2 linked regions of the Drosophila melanogaster genome follow. The protein of the gene in region 2 purifies or fractionates together with the protein of the main gene of each other region. This does not show direct contact. Each region holds a gene or a part of one and is shown on either strand. Other genes may lie near its edges. The genes, in order: Toll-6 and NT1.

Region 1 (6,370 bases), about 11 Mb from region 2:
CATCCAATCGCAGGACCTCCAGTTTCCTCAGCATCTGGAAACTCCCATTGGCGATGCTGGCTATTTTGTTTGATTGCAGATATAGCTCCCTCAGGTTCTCCAGATTGTGGAACTCGTTGCCCTCCAGACTGATTATATGATTATCCTCCAAGTGCAGGATCAACAGGCGTTTAAGGCCACTGAAAGTGGTGTTGTATATGTGGGCCACGTTCGAGTTGTTCGCATAGAGAACAGCCAAGTTCTTGCGACCAAGGAACGAATGTCCCGCCAATTCAACAAAGTTGTTGCCATCGATATACAACTCAGAGGTATCCATGGGCACACGTCTCGGCATCTCAGAATAAGCTGCGCCCGAGCACTCCACAATATTTGTGGACCAGGTTTGGTCATGGAAGCACGTGCAATTCGTGGGGCAGGTCATCTCGCAATCACAAGCATCGAACTCACAGCAATGGCAAACGGCGAAGCAATGGGTCTTGTAGGTGCACAAAAAGTGCTTGGGTTCAGCTTCGATCAGGGGAATATAGGCCCTCTCCCTGTTGTTCAGCAACTTGCAGTATATGGTCTCCAGATCCATAATCCTTGGATATTGCCTCGATGTTATATGGTTAATCTTCTGCAGCCAATCAATGTTACAATCGCAGGTGAAGGGATTTCCACCAATATAGAACTCTGGCAGAGCTCGATGTTCCCAAACTGGCAGAATCCTCAAGGACTTGATGTCCAGCGTTGTGATTTGGTTCGCATAGAGATCCACCCGGGTCAGATTGGTTTTGTGCATAAAGGTATCTGGATCAACGGTGGTTATCAGGTTGTCGTTCAGGAACAGCAGTTCGATAGAGTTTGGTATGGAACTGGGTCCAATGCGCTGAAGTTGATTAAAGCTCACATCGAGAGTTTGTAGTTTTAGCTCACTATCCAAACCAAAACGATTTGATAAGGAACTCAACCGATTCTTATGGAGGTCCAGCCACTGCAGGGTGGATGGCACATGTCCATAATCAAAGGATTCCAAACGATTATCGGATATATTCAGCCACAGAAGGGAGGGCATGTTGCTGAAGAGGCCATTGATGTCATTCAGCTCATTGCCATCCAAACGCACAGCTTGAATGCTCGAGGTCATCTCAAAGGCCCCCGGTTCCACAACTGCTATGCGGTTTCTGGCGAGATTCAGGATTTGCAAATTAGGCAGATCCCTGAAGGTGTGCATCGTAATATTCTCCAGGTAGTTGCCAATCAAGCGGAGACCATAGAGATTTCCCAGACCTTTAAACGCACTATCCTCCATAACGGTAATCATGTTCTCGCCCAGATCCACGGTTCTCAAATGGCGCATATTCCTCAGGGCCAGCGGAACTGTCTTCAGCTGATTGCCATTCAAGTTGAGGTCCTGCAGGGCACTGCAGTTCCGGAAGGCATCCGGATGCACGCCAATCAGCGCATTATTGTCCAGCGAGAGCAGCGACAGTACATACAATCCGTTCAGAGCATATGCATCCAGATACTTCAGTTTGTTGTGCGACAGCAGCAGCGTGTGCAGATTATTCATCGGGGCAAAAGTGTCGGCTGCGATGTTCTCCAGCTGATTGTGACGCAGATTAAGAATCTGCAGGGTGTACAAGTCGCTGAAGATCTCTGGCTCCAGTTTGGTCAACTTGTTGTGCGACAAATTAAGCAGAACCAGACGAATCAGACCCACAAAGGTGTTCTTATCGATCCAGGTGGAGGTTATCTGGTTCATGGACAGGTCCAGGGCCTGCAGCTGGTCCAGATTCGAGAAGAGCTGCGGATTCAGCACACTTATGGAATTATTCTGCAGGTACACCTCTTGGATAATCTTGGCTTGCTCAGCGAAGAGTTCTGTGGGCAAGGCCACGATTTTGTTGGAGCTCAGGTTCAGGATCTGCAGGTTCTTCAGTCCACTGAGAGCCTTGTCCGCAATCATGGAGATGCCATTGTTGTTGACCGAAAGGACTCGCAGCCTCCTCAGAGTGCCAAATCCATTTGCTGGCAGCACGACGAAATCATTGTGGCTCACATCCAGGTACTCCAGGTCCAGCGAACAACTGGTGCTTGAGCTACTGCTCTTTTTGGCCGATTCGGTGGTGGAGGTGGATTCGGTGGAACCATTGGTTGGCTCCTTGCTGCGATCCCTGAAGCCCAGCTCGTTGACGTCCTGCAGGCGATTCTCGCTCATGTTCAGGGCAGACAACTCGGACAGGGTGCAGAATATGTTATCCGGCAGGGACCAGATGTTGTTCGAACTGAGGTCCAGTCTCTCCAACCTCCGAGTGACCGAGAAGGCATCCGCTTCTATCTCGAAATTCAGCGCTGGCCACAGGATGTTGTGCGTCCGGAGCGTCAGGTTCCTCAGCTGCTCCAGACCATCCAGAACCTGGCGACCCAGTCGCCCCAGCTTGCAATACTGGATGGACAGCTGCTGGAGCCTAACCAGATGGGCGAAAGATTGCGCCTCCAGGCGACTCTTGGCCATGATTTCGTCATTGCACAGTATGTGCAGGGCAATCGTGTGCTCGGCGGGTATAACACTGAAATTGGTTGTGTCAAACTCGCTGTTCACCGTGCGCAGGTTGCACGTTAAGGCTATTTCCGGCTGATCCAGACCCGCTGCTGGCATGAAGTGACAGTCGTCGGGGGCGTCATACAGCGAAGGGTCACCACCCGCGCCCGCGGTCAAGGGTCGCAGGGTTCGCGCCGGAGTCGAGGGCTGCATTAGCTGCGAGTTGGAGACCCCAGCCTCACCCATTATCGCATTCGAGTGCGACAGCTGCTGCTGCTGGTGGTGCTTGGTGGACAGCGATTCCGTGGTGTGCTGCTGATCCTGGGCCAGGACCACGGGCAGTATGAGTAGCATATAGTAGATCATTTTGGCGATTCACGGTTTAGCTGCGTGGAGGCACCGGAAAATGGGTTTGCGGAGGGGGGAAAGACGGTACAAGCGGGGGTCTTGGGGAGAAACGAAAAGAAAATCAATTCCACTGGCTGGCCAAAGAAAAGTCTGCGCACATATTTTCGGCTTCTGTGCTCCCTCTACTCCAAGCCAGATTTTCTTTATTTTCCCCCGATTCTTTAGTTAATTATGCTCTCCGTGTTTTCTTCTCTCTTACACCCGGCACATTTTCTAGCACTTGGCCTTTTCTATCCTCTTTATATTTAAATTTTTCTTTTTTATTCGTTTCGGCGCTTTGAATTACTCGCTTCGAAGTTTTTGTTTATTACACGTCGCGTTATAGGAACCTTTGATGAATTTCAATTTAGCTGCGGGCTCGACTTCTATTATCACTTTTTCATTTGGCTGAACTGAACCCACTTTTTCTGGGACTTGAGCGGTGCAGCAGCGTCGATATTTTCCGGTTCGTAATGTAACGCGCACGTTGGCTGATTTTCGACTGACTGCCGCAACGTGCGCAACTTCTCTTTTAAATGGAGAGTCGTCCACGAACTCGAAACCCCGAAAATCCGAAAAGCCGAACGCGAGCCGAAGGGGGCTGGAAAACAGACGAAGAGCAGCCGACAGGCTCTGCACGGGCGGGAAATGCTGAGAGTTTTCGGAGAGTATGACTAAAGGGAAATTCGCTCTGGCTCGACGGATGCTGGAAAATGTTTTTCTTTCTCTCCATCTAATCGCATCGAACAGCTGGCGTTCGTTCGTGTTTTCCTTTTGATTTTCTCTGTCTTTTTTCGTCGTATTTCGTATATCCTTTATTTTTTTGCCGCCGAATCGGAGATAGAGCTCCGCACCCCCCGCCGCCAACCGGCGACTTCTCTGCTGTCTCTGTTTTGATAATGAAAATATATGATGTGCATGGGCCAGCGCCAATCTTCATACAAACGTAATTTATTTTTATGCCATGTGCATGTGTGTGTCGGTGTGCCGAGAAGGTCCTTCGGCTGCTTTTTGCTCCTGTTTCGTGGGCCCAGACCCGTATAAAAATAATAATTCCTCACATTCCATTAAATTACAATAATAATTTTAATTAAACTGTTTTGTTTGCGCCTCATGTAACAATTCCTGTGGTTTCATGACTTCTTTTTCGCCCAGCAAAGCAGCAAAAAACTGTCTTCCCCATCAGGTTAATGATAATGATTATGGGCCAGCATTATGGGGTTTCGTTGGGCTTTGGATGTGTGGGGATTTCTGTGGATTCCTCGTTCTCAAATCCGGAAAGTTATGCAAGGACTTGGTTAGACTCGATTGGGAGATGCTGGAAATAGCAAATATGAAAATTCGTGAGCAGAGTTTTTATAAAAAGCTCCTTTTATAGGATATCTTAAATCGCACACTGCAAATTCAGATTTTTGTAGTTACTTAAATTTTGAATTATGTTATTGTCTTTTGGACTTAAATTAATATTTCTTTGAGATTAATTACACTTGGAACATTTTACTACTTCAAATAATAAATATACAATTTTTGCTTCACGCGCCTATGATTTTGATGAATGTATTATAATCTTACCTAAAGTAGTCCTGGTATCTCGAAAAAGAAATCAATCTATCAAGGAAATTTTCCAAGGGTTAATTTACAAAGAAGACTGTCTATTGTTCCTTATTTCGTTAACCTCCGGCATGTATGTATTTTGATTGTTCAATATTTGGGTGAAAGCAGAAATATTGATGGATCACCGCCAACAAATTCAATGGCGATTACCACGGCATGGTAACCTTGATAAACTTCGGGTCTTTCATGACTAATTCCCAAGAAAAACAGCTGCCCTGGACACTTTATCTTGGGCTAATATTTCTTAGCTGGCTTGAAAGTTTTCCCATATCCATGGGTGTTGTGGCTAAGGATCTTTTTGTCGCCACTAAAAGCAAACACAAAAACATTTTTGCCAAATTGCGTCAGCCAACAGAACGCCTCCCACCCATTTTTCGTGCTGGGGTAATGATTTGCCTAATGTTTCTAACAATTATGTGGCTTGGCCACACAAAAGAATATATTATGTAAGTTATTAAAATTATATCACCAGCAGGAGCAGCAGCAGAGCCACGAACAGCAGCCAAGTCTAATAAGCCTCCTGCACAGTGAAGAAAACTATTGCAGTTCAGTCTTAATTTGAGAGATTTTCTCAGTAAGATATTCGCTAAAAATATTAGTTATTTAGGCACATGATGTTTTTCTTTTACCAATTACTCTTGTACAGGGATGTATTACTGTTTTATTCACAAGATTTTCCTTCAGTGCACCCCTTATTTTACTCACCTTCAGGCTTTCGCAGGCTCTTTCAAATGTAAATGGCGGCAAGGACGAGGTTTTGTGGCTCGCTTTCCTTTGTGTGGTGGCACATGCAACCAAGAAGGAATATTTCTTCCCCGGCCTGGTATTCTTTTTTCGGTAGTTATCAATTTGGTGAACGCTTCTGGCTTTTGTCCGTGGTCCTGGTCGCAGCTCCTTTATTTATGTGCCCCATAACGTGGGTTTCTTTCGCTTCGTTTTTTTTTTTTTTTCGGTAACACGAATGACAAGATTTTCATCAACGTCATTAATATTAACTTTTGCAATAATTCTCGAGCTGTGGAAAATTATGAGAAATGACCCAGTAGATAAAGCCAGAGGCTGGGCAAAGCGGAGCTGAATCGGAGTCCACTTTTCGACAAAGCCATAACTCTCGGTGTGCAGATTGGATTGGTTTGCCGGCTATAGTAGATGTCCTTGTCGTGGTATTAGCCTGACGCCTGGACGGCTTTCAAGTCAATCTTAATTGTGGCTCTGTGCTATGGACTCGGCCTAATGACAGCATTTCGGATTACTTTCACTCAAAGCCAAGGGGGAAAGCTAGAAAGAAAGGTTGCATATTTTATGGCGCCCAAGCAGCTTTACGGGTGCACTGTAAAAAATTTTCAATCTGTTGAAGCAACTCAATATCATTAGGTCTGCCATGGATAAATGGGAAGCTCAAATCAAAACACCAAAGTGAGTCTTAGATTAAACAAGCCTACGCTATAACAATTTTTTGACGTACATTCCGCGTTTTACGTGAAAATGGGATTACATATTCCAATCCATTTTGATTACTAAATATTTACTTTTATGTTTTTCAGTGTGTCTATATATGAGGAGGGGGCACAAAAATCACAATTAAATGTAACAATTGCGTCTCTGGGGACCGCAGGTCTGGTTAACAAGAGCATCGGACTCGATTCCCTCCTGTCAGTTGCTTGTCTGATGCCAGCTTAAATTGCCCATACACGTCACAGGCAAACACCACCCAACACCCACCACCTACCGCCCATTGCCCCACATCCTTGCAGTACCCACCCAATGCGATGTTCCTTATCCCCACCCACACCCATCGGATTCACCCATTCAGCTATCCTTTTTGGCAGCTTTGGCTCGTCCTCG
Region 2 (9,229 bases):
CCTCTCGTGCGTTTTGGGCACCGGAATGGGATGTTGGTAAACTCCAGTGATTGTCTCCATGCCCAAGCCCATGCCATTCTGTTGAGATTTGGGGGAATTCTGCGGGAATATACGCTGCTCCACTATGCGGGACTCTTCTGCGATGGAACTGACTGTAGCCGCCGCCTCCGCCTTGCGATTCTTCTCGAAGAAATCGATAATGGGGTGGTAGTTATAGTTAATCCTCTTGCCCGACATCTCGCTGCCACCACCGCTGGGGAAGATCGAGCTCACTGGATAGACTGCCGGCGGTTGTGGTAGTGACGTCGACTGATCCCGCTCCCACTGAGTGGTGCGCTCGGTCGAAAGGGACGACGCTGACCCGGTAACCACTGCTGTGTTGGTCGTCGTGGTGGCTGGTGGTGCATAGAAGCGGGGTCGCGATTTGCTGCCACCTTGCCGGTTGACTGGTGAAGATGGTGGTGAGGCTGTTGGTGGTGCGCCTGGTGGTGCGATGGCACCTGCTTGATGGGCATGGGCGGCATGGGCAGAGGAGGCGCTGGAGAGGCCAGCACTGGCGCTGAAACCGGAGACAAAGCCGGATCCCGGACTAAGGGCAGCTGTTCCCGTTCGGGCTGGTAGACTTGTGGTCTGTGGAAATCGTAGGCGGACGGCAGCTCCTCCTGCGGGCGATGGTACTGAAGATGATGATGCTGATGATGTTGCGGTGGTGGGGGCTGTGTGGGTGGAGGCATAAATACGCTTGCGATTCAGCGGGATACGCGGCTTCTCTGCACCGCCGTTTGGTGGGCCAGCGAATAGGTTTACCTCTTGGTCCGAATGCGTCTCGCTTGGCGCCAAATCCAAGTCCAGACGCGCCTCTGAATGCTGCGGCCGCCGGCGGCTCACCTGGCTGTAATACTTCTTGGAACTGGAACTGGAGCTCTTGTATCCGCCATAGCGATCTTCGTCATCATCAGGGGGACTGAGATATGGACCCACACTGCTGCTAATACCAGGCAGCTTTACGCGCACCTTGTTACTGCTGGAATACAGTTCATTTGTCTCCCGATTGTTGAAAGAGGGATATCGAAGACCCAGTTCGTCCTCCTCGCTCTCTTCGGCATAGTCCAGATCCTCCTCGTTTATGGTACTATACCCATTATGACTATGATTTATGACAGGAGACTGGGGAGAGTAATCTTTGGCTTGTATGGAGGAGAGCGGTGGAAACTGCTGGCGATAACCATCCACTTGGCAGGAGCAACAGGTGGGCACCTTAAAAATATCCACATGGAGACCACGCACTTTGTCCCAACTTAATAGACGATGATAGTTGTACACCTGCGAGCAGTGGGAACGGTAAGTCTGCGCCAAGTAGGAACAACTCTCGACGGGATTACTGTTTATAAATGCAAAGATTGCAAGTTAATACCATGTTATTCAAGTGAAAAATTATTTTCACCCACCTGCATTTTTCCAATCTTAAGGTTTGCGTGTGCTGACCAGTGTTCACTATGTACTTCCATTCTCCTGAAGCTGACTTGGCCTTCTGGGGTCGGGCATAACGTACCACGCTCTGGCACATCCCACCTGCGCTGCCTTCGTCTTCACGCCTTTAATGTGAAAAAAAAAATGAAATATTTTACCAAAATTCACCGTCGAGCATTTGGCTTTTTAATTGGTCTTTTCAAAACTAATATAAAAGTATATTCCTACACATTGTTTTTTTTCATTGGTTTACGAAATATAATGCCAATATAACTGATAAAAGTGTAATAAAATTTGTGTGACCTAATATATTATTTTATTATCATAACTTTGTGAAGAAAATGACTTTATGTGGCTTATGCTCATATGATTCAACGACAATTTCAATATACAATTTCGAAATGATCACGTTTCCTAAAACTTTTATAGTCAAAACTTATGTTATGACATTTATTGTCAGTTATTTGCTATCTTTGATGATCTTTTTCACTTACCTCTTTTTGCTCAGGCTGAAGTCATCGAAGTCATCACTAAACTCCAGATTGTTATTGGGCTTGTCGTAGAACTCGGCCAATAGAGCGGACATGGCGTTTTTGTGACGCCTAATGCTGCCCATGATCTGTTCACTAAGATTTCAAAATAATATATGCAGTTTCCAACGGTAGACTTCATTCAACAACTCTAACCAAAACCAATAACTAAGCATAAGTGCAAGGGAAAGTTGGGCAAGTGTGATTCATAAATTAAAGTTTTATTATGGCTAAAATTCGGACTAAACTAGAGCTAAGGACTATGGACCGGAACCAGGACCCTGGGAGTACCGCTCACCAACTAGCTACGGGAATCTTACAGCGGATAGTCGTCGGTTCGGATGCACATGTTGCTGGTGAATCGTTCGCATTTCTTGTTGGGTGGTGTAACCACGGGTTTATGGGAACTGGCGGCGGTCTTCGGTCTTCCCCTTAAGGAGGATGTGACTCTCTTTCGTTTGATGGGAGATCCAGATTTTTGACCAGGCAGTGGTCTTTTCCCCAGTCGGTAACGTGGTCCAGCGATGAGTTCCTCTGGACTTGGTAGTGGTTCCTCAGTCTCCTCGGCGCTGTTTCTTTGCAGATCTAATCGCTCATCAGCGCTCAGGGGGATTTCCGTGCCATTAAGACCAGCAAAAGCCAGATCCTCCACCTCAGAGTATGACTGGCCACCATTGGAGGAGGCCATCTTCTCCTCCTCCTGGCTACTTGGCTGTTGAAAAGCTGTGGTATTCAGCTTGATGGTACGTCCAGCAATGCCACCCAAAAGTTGCTGCTCGGTCACAGAAGCAGGCACGGATCGGGTCAATTTGTGAACAAACTCGTTTGCCGATCGTCGAACTCTTTGACCATGATTTTCTGGTTTAAAAGTCTTGGTTTTGTTATCATGAAGATCACCTGTCAGGGCCTCATTGATCATCTGAGGATCAAGCACTTCTGACCCCATCTCATCAAAGAAGTCCTCTAGAGACTCCAATTGCACCTCCTCAGTAGAGACCTTTTTTGGCTCAACTTCCACAGCAATGGTGCCCAATTGGTCATCCTGTTGGGACTCTTCTGGAGTCAAATCATCTTCACGACGATTGATGGGAGTATGGTAAAGGGCAGATGAAGCCAGATCAGAACCCAGATTGATGTACTTGCGGGTAGAGCTCTTTATGAGATTTGCGATGTCGAACACTATGGGCAAAAGCAGCTTTTTTTCATTGCCAAACATCATGCGAACCTGATTAAATTAGAAAAATCATTAGCCAGTTTTTTTTTTTAATGCAATGTAATGTAAAATAATATTTTTTTAAAAACGTTCTCAAACACACCTGTTCAAACTTTAGTTCGTGCCCCTTTTTTGCATTCATCTGAGCCGAGATCAAAGCGGAAAGAGCCAGGCGCTGTTGAGAAGATAGCATTCTTAAAATGGGCAAAACTTCGGCGAACTTCTGGCGCAATCCCTCATCCGCCAAGGCTTTGGCCAGAGCGTTTCTTAAAACCCTTTCTCGCCAATCGAAAGGTGGTAATTGTTTCTCCGGCTCCGGTTCATCCAGATCTACGCTAAAGTCCAGCATATTCGACTCCAACTTCTTTTCGGCCTGCTCCGCCTTTTTTGCCTCCTCCAGATCATCCAGCTGCCAGTCCTCCATAGCAGCATCATTTGAATCCGCAAAATCAAAGTCCATCAGCTCATCGTCGGCGGAGTTCCCACTGACCAGATCCAGATAGAGCACACAATAGAGCAGAGCCCAGAAAAGGCAGCCGAAGGCGCGGCCAGCTTTCATTTTCACTCTGGCTTTATTTTCTTGGCTTTGTTTTTAATTGCAGTCGTCTGCGAATGACAAAAGGCAAAGGAAAGTTAAAGCGAGGGGGCGGTCACTGCTGGTTATTAAGTTGGATTTAATTTTCCGAAATATCAGATGAATGTCGTCTTATTAATTGTTTATTTATGACTATAGTGCACCTCAGACGACACTCGCACGCTTTCAAAAAAAAAAACAGTTTATGGCTTATTCTTAGACGGGTTCAATTTGTCTTGGCAAATTCAAAACCATTCATATTTTTGGCTTTCCATCGAAAGCAAGAGTCATTAACATGAGCGTAAACTATTACGACCGTGCAGCAAGAGTCATAACAGTCATCTTGGCCAGGCTATTACAGCAGCACAGTCGTCTCCGGCTTTAGGTAATCGCACTCAGCCATCGGCGTCGTCATCATGATCTTCACTGTCATCTCAGTTGACTGCCCAACAAGGCGTGAAGCACCGAAGCTGCTCTGGTTGTTGCTATTTTTACCATTTTAATGTGTATTTTCGCGCACGGGGTTATGACTCCTGACTAAACTGGCCGTTTTGCGGTAATATGGCATCCCATCCAAAGGTCGGGTGATTGATTTGACTGCGCTTTAGCTTCCTATCATCATGATGAAGACATTTGTCAGGCTAAAAGAGCTCTTCCCTCTTCCCTATGAACTTGGTTTTCTCTTCTTGTCTATGCAAATGTGTTCAGCACAAAGGAAAGTCTTTCTTTCATTTTGTTCGTTATTTATATAGTCGACTACCCCAAGGAGCCGACAAATCTGAATGCTAACAACACCCAAGCCAGGAAAACTCCTCCGAGGCAATGGCTATACCAGCTGCATCGATGTTATGACCTTTTGTGCAGATGAAAAGTGAAAATTTGGCTGCAGCAGCGGCAAACAGTTGACAGTTTAGAAAAGGCAGCCAAGGCCAGCATGAAAACTTATGGCGGACGTGGGCTAGAGAAGATTGTCCAACGATTCACGTCTCTTCGGGCACCCAAGGCAAGGCAAATAATTGAATGAAATGATGCGCACAGTTTGCGATGCACGAACGTGAGGATGCTGCCGTTGTCAAGATGCAGGCAGGCTCGATGTCTTTAATTTATCTCGCACACCTGCGCGCAGAAGACCCCGCTAATGGATCCTACGAAAGGGGAAGAGAGATGGCGGCGCTTCTGGTTTTTGTGTGGCCTTTGCATTTACGTATAGATACTTTTTTGACGCTGGGAAAGCGGCATAGTACGATAAATCAAATTAAGCCAATAAGTCGCAGCCGTTTCCCATATATGCCAACCATTATTTCGGTTCCCAGGCATCCCAGTAATTTCGCGTGGGTGCCATTTGCAAGAAAGCAAATACAAATTACAGACGAAAATGGGAATGGCAATGGGTTGCATTTGAAGATGCTGCACTCCGCTTGCATGCGATCTCTCGGCAAATTCTTTGGCCACTTTAATTAACTTGTAATTTGCGTGCGTTGCGCAGACAACGAAACGGGGCCAGTCAAAAAATAAAAAAAAAGGCAAAAGAAAAACAAACGAGACGAATTGAAGAAAACAAATTAAAGCGCTGCAAATGAGAGGAGAAGCATCTGAAAGCGAAGCGCAAAGCAAGAAAGTCGCACTGACAATCTCCGCAGAATCCTACTAAGCAGACTAAGCAGCCTCAGAAGCAACTAGGTGCTAACCGACTAACCTAGTAAGCGAACCCGCTGAACCACTAACCACCAACAGCTGTCGAGCTGTATTGGACAGATCGGGGATCAATATCTTCATCGCATAGGTTTGGCCATCCGAACTGACATATAAATTCCCAACCAACTTACTGGGCCCTAAACGAAAGACTTAAGACACAAACTTGACGACCGCCGAAAAGCGGCAACTCATATCAATAAACGAACACACACGCACACGCTTAAACAGCGCGGACTGACACAATTTCCTCGGGCGTAAAGAATAAAACGAATTCAAATTTTTGTGCGTCGTTGTTGTTATTGTTGTTGGGTGTAAGCGCTTTTTTGTTTTCGTTCATTTAGAAAGTTGTTTCCATTTCACATATTTGGCTAAAATACACTCACAAATGAAATGCTATTTTAAAATTCCAATTTCGATTTTGTTTCTTGTTCTCCGCTTTGCGCTCTAGTTTTTTATGATTAATTTATAAAGCTAAAGCAGAGCTTCAGAAATCACCTCAGATCAGCTTGTCTTCAGTCCACTGTTCTTCTTTTTTTTTTTGTTCTCCAAGCCACTCCCTTCTCCAGTCTTCCGAGCTTCGATATATGTATTTAGCTTGATCACTGTTTATTTCCTGTTGCGGCGCAAGAACCGAGTTTCCATTCCACTCCACTTTGCATAGATAATTTTCACTTTTATAGGCTCATTGGCTACCGCCTTCGCTGATTTTCACACTTTTCACACGCGCCTTAATTAACAGAAATTTCTACTTTGCCACACTTCTTGAGTCTGTCCGCTTGGCATTCACCTTCGTTTTGCTTTTGAGACAGCTTTTTATTTTTTCCGCCTGCTACGTCTGAACGCTTTCAACACTCGCCGCAAACTGATTTGCTGCCTCAACTGCTGCTTACTGCTTCTTTACCTACCGCTTTTGCTGCTGCTGCGGTTGTTGTTGCTGCTGCTGCTGCGGCGACTTTGGCTCAGTTGGCGTTCTGGACCCATTGCAGTAAATCCAACTTAGGTGCGTGCTTGTGCATTAAAAAGTGCGCATCGGCAAATTGCATTTCTTGTGCAGTTCGCAAGTTCATTGAACCGTTAGTTGGTTTACATTTGCATATCCATGCATGTGAAATTAATTAACGTTTAGAGCGGAAGTTTGCCTATATTTAAAACTGTATGTAGCAGCCTCGTCTGCCCAGTTCGTGTCTTCAGTCATTTGTTTTGGCACTGGGTCAGGAAGCGATTTGTCCAAAACGGAAGCATGCTAAACGGCGTATCTAAACTGCTTTCTATCGGCATCATTAGCCACGAAAACCACTTTGACCACTTCATCAGGCGTTACGGCCGCCCGCGAGGGTCAGCCCCTAAAGTTAAGGAAAGAAAATTAATTTCCAGCCACGGCACTTTCGTTTTTCAAAACAACAGCCCTCGGTAGCAACTTTGGGCAGGTGGTTAGCGCCTCCGCCTGCTTTTCAGCCACCGAACAGTGGGACAAAATTTAGTCGTGCAAATTTTTATTTTATCTTTTAATGCATAGCAACACAAGTTGATATCCTTGTAAACTATTCAATATATATTATATATCATAGCCAAATACATGCCTAATTTTATTAAGATTAGCATTATTAAAATCTAAAATGAAAATTTAGGATTGAAATAATTTTTTTTATGTTCGTAAACTCTGATTAAATTGCTCCTATTTTTAGCTAATTACCTTATATCGTTTTGCACCCCACTGTGCAATGACTTTGACTTGCGTCTAATAACGACTTTTCGTGATTTTGACGTTTTGCTTTTTTGCGCTTTATTGTTATTTCTTCATCATTGGTTGAGTCCATAAACTATCGGCTTAACTGCTCCAGGGCAGTGGCAAGTGCATCCTCCCTCCGGCTTCTATGGCACTTTCAATGACCACTTAAAGAGCATTTTCTTCACACTTTCATTGGTAACCACAGCGGCAAAACGGTACCAGCTGAATTTTCATTTCATTTTCACGAGCACGCAATGTTTTTCAGCCTTTACGCATTTTATCTTAATGTCCATTTGTCGACATTACCGCATCGCTGGCCGTGTGTTTAATTGCAGCGTCATCAATCAAGCAACCATAGCCGAAAGTGTCCTCACTCACTCAACTTGGTTGCACTCGGTTATCCATGGTTTTTACTCGCATATCGTTGCAATTCGCTAGATTTTCCGCTACCGGCGTTCATCCCGGCTGGCCAACTTGCTGACCATAAAACATAGCGATGCACTTGGCTAATTTGCACATTAAATTTTTATTTTTATATTTATTTCTTTATTTTATGTTTGTTGTTATGTTTATTGTATGTTTGTGTTCCGGTCCGGTAGTGAAATATTACCTAGCACCGCAGTCTTGTCATTTCATCTGGCGATTGTTTAGCCTGCATCTTGTATAGTCCACTTGCTCTTGGAATATTTGTCGAGTGCATAAAAACATTGACATTGAAAATAATCAGGTTTGCCTTTTAAGTTCGCATTTCAGTTTAATATTCGAAAAACACGCCGTATAAGTTATAATTATGCATTCCTACGCCTCTTATTCTTGTCCGATGAAAACTCTTCGGCCAAAACAATTCCGGTTTTTAATTTAGTCATCTGTCTTCAACAACTTTTAAATTTGTAAAGTACCCGCAGGGGATTTACATAAAAATATGGTTCGACAAATATACGAATAATCATTAATTCAATGATTGTGGAAAAACGACTATTAAAACTTTAAATAAGTTTCAGATTAAGACTTTATTTCATAATGCAAATAATATCTCCAAAACTTAATTTGGTTCAAATATCTTCCAATAGATCTATATATATTTTTTAATACATTATAAAATTATCAAAATATTGATAAAAACCAAATTAAGTGCTTGTACTGTTTTAATATATATATTTTTCTTTTGAATTGCGCGCTCAGTTATTTTGAACCAGTTTTTTGGAACTAGTAAAGAGAAGCCAGACCTAACGAAAAAGCTGAAAGCTTAAATAAAAGTTAACATGATAACAGACAGGCATTAACAGAAATGCTTACCGTCTGTTTTCACCATGTTAGCTTAACATAATACATCATAATCAGTATTGCCACTACAATAAATTTCCATTTAAATTTATATAAAATAAAAAAAGCATTCAAATGGTGTAATATTCATAATTATATTTCGTCTTTAATTAATTTATTTGTACAATTCTATAGCTAGATTTCAATACAATTACATAGATCCTATGCGCTGCACGCCTAAATCAACGATTTATTTTCTTATTACTGACGACGGGGTTTCAAAGTTTCCTTTTGTGCAGTCAAATCTTGGCTACATCCAGGGGAAATAGCTCAACTCGAAGATGGGATTTTAGATACAGACTAGAAGAACTAAGTGACGAACTTTAAACTAAGCATAGGTAGCGCCATTCATTAATCGTAAGGCCTAGAACGTATTTTGTTGTCTCAACAAATAAATATTTACAATGAAAGAAACTTCCGGGGCATTCGAAATGGAAAATTAACAATAAAATACAAATAATACTGCTCGACAAGGACGTCGCAAGGAAGGAGAATTTCGAAAGATCTACAAGTGGGCAAATAGAGATGTGTGGGCGGTGGATGAGTTGTGGATGGATTGGTTGAGATGCACAGTTAGTTGGTGGCTCCTCGACCGGGTAGGGGTTGGCTCAGTCAGCGTCATATTTCGCACTCGAACTCCGAGATCCGGTGATTGAAGTACACCACTCCGTGCTCGAGATCCTCGCTAAACCCGC

What was found.
Region 1: the proteins of NT1 (region 2) and Toll-6 purify together in Drosophila melanogaster (affinity purification with western blotting, with the first as the bait; one study listed by BioGRID). This does not show direct contact.

The regions. Positions count from the first base shown.
Region 1 is NT_037436.4:15,333,745-15,340,114, reverse strand, and holds the start of Toll-6 (Toll-6), read right to left. Parts: upstream 3,424-6,370; 5' UTR 2,891-3,423; coding exon 1-2,890.
Region 2 is NT_037436.4:4,502,084-4,511,312, forward strand, and holds the start of NT1 (neurotrophin 1), read right to left. Parts: upstream 6,351-9,229; 5' UTR 5,978-6,350; exon of another isoform or gene 5,866-5,977; intron 3,820-5,865; 5' UTR 3,773-3,819; coding exon 3,317-3,772; intron 3,226-3,316; coding exon 2,321-3,225; coding exon of another isoform or gene 2,317-2,320; exon of another isoform or gene 2,202-2,316; intron 2,097-2,201; coding exon 1,965-2,096; intron 1,596-1,964; coding exon 1,449-1,595; intron 1,382-1,448; coding exon 1-1,381. Other genes in the region: Tie (Tie-like receptor tyrosine kinase), read right to left, coding at 9,153-9,229. UniProt on the Drosophila melanogaster protein: Neurotrophin which may function as a ligand for the Toll-related receptors Toll-7 and Tollo. Binds to Toll-7 and probably acts as its ligand in promoting motor axon targeting and neuronal survival in the central nervous system (CNS).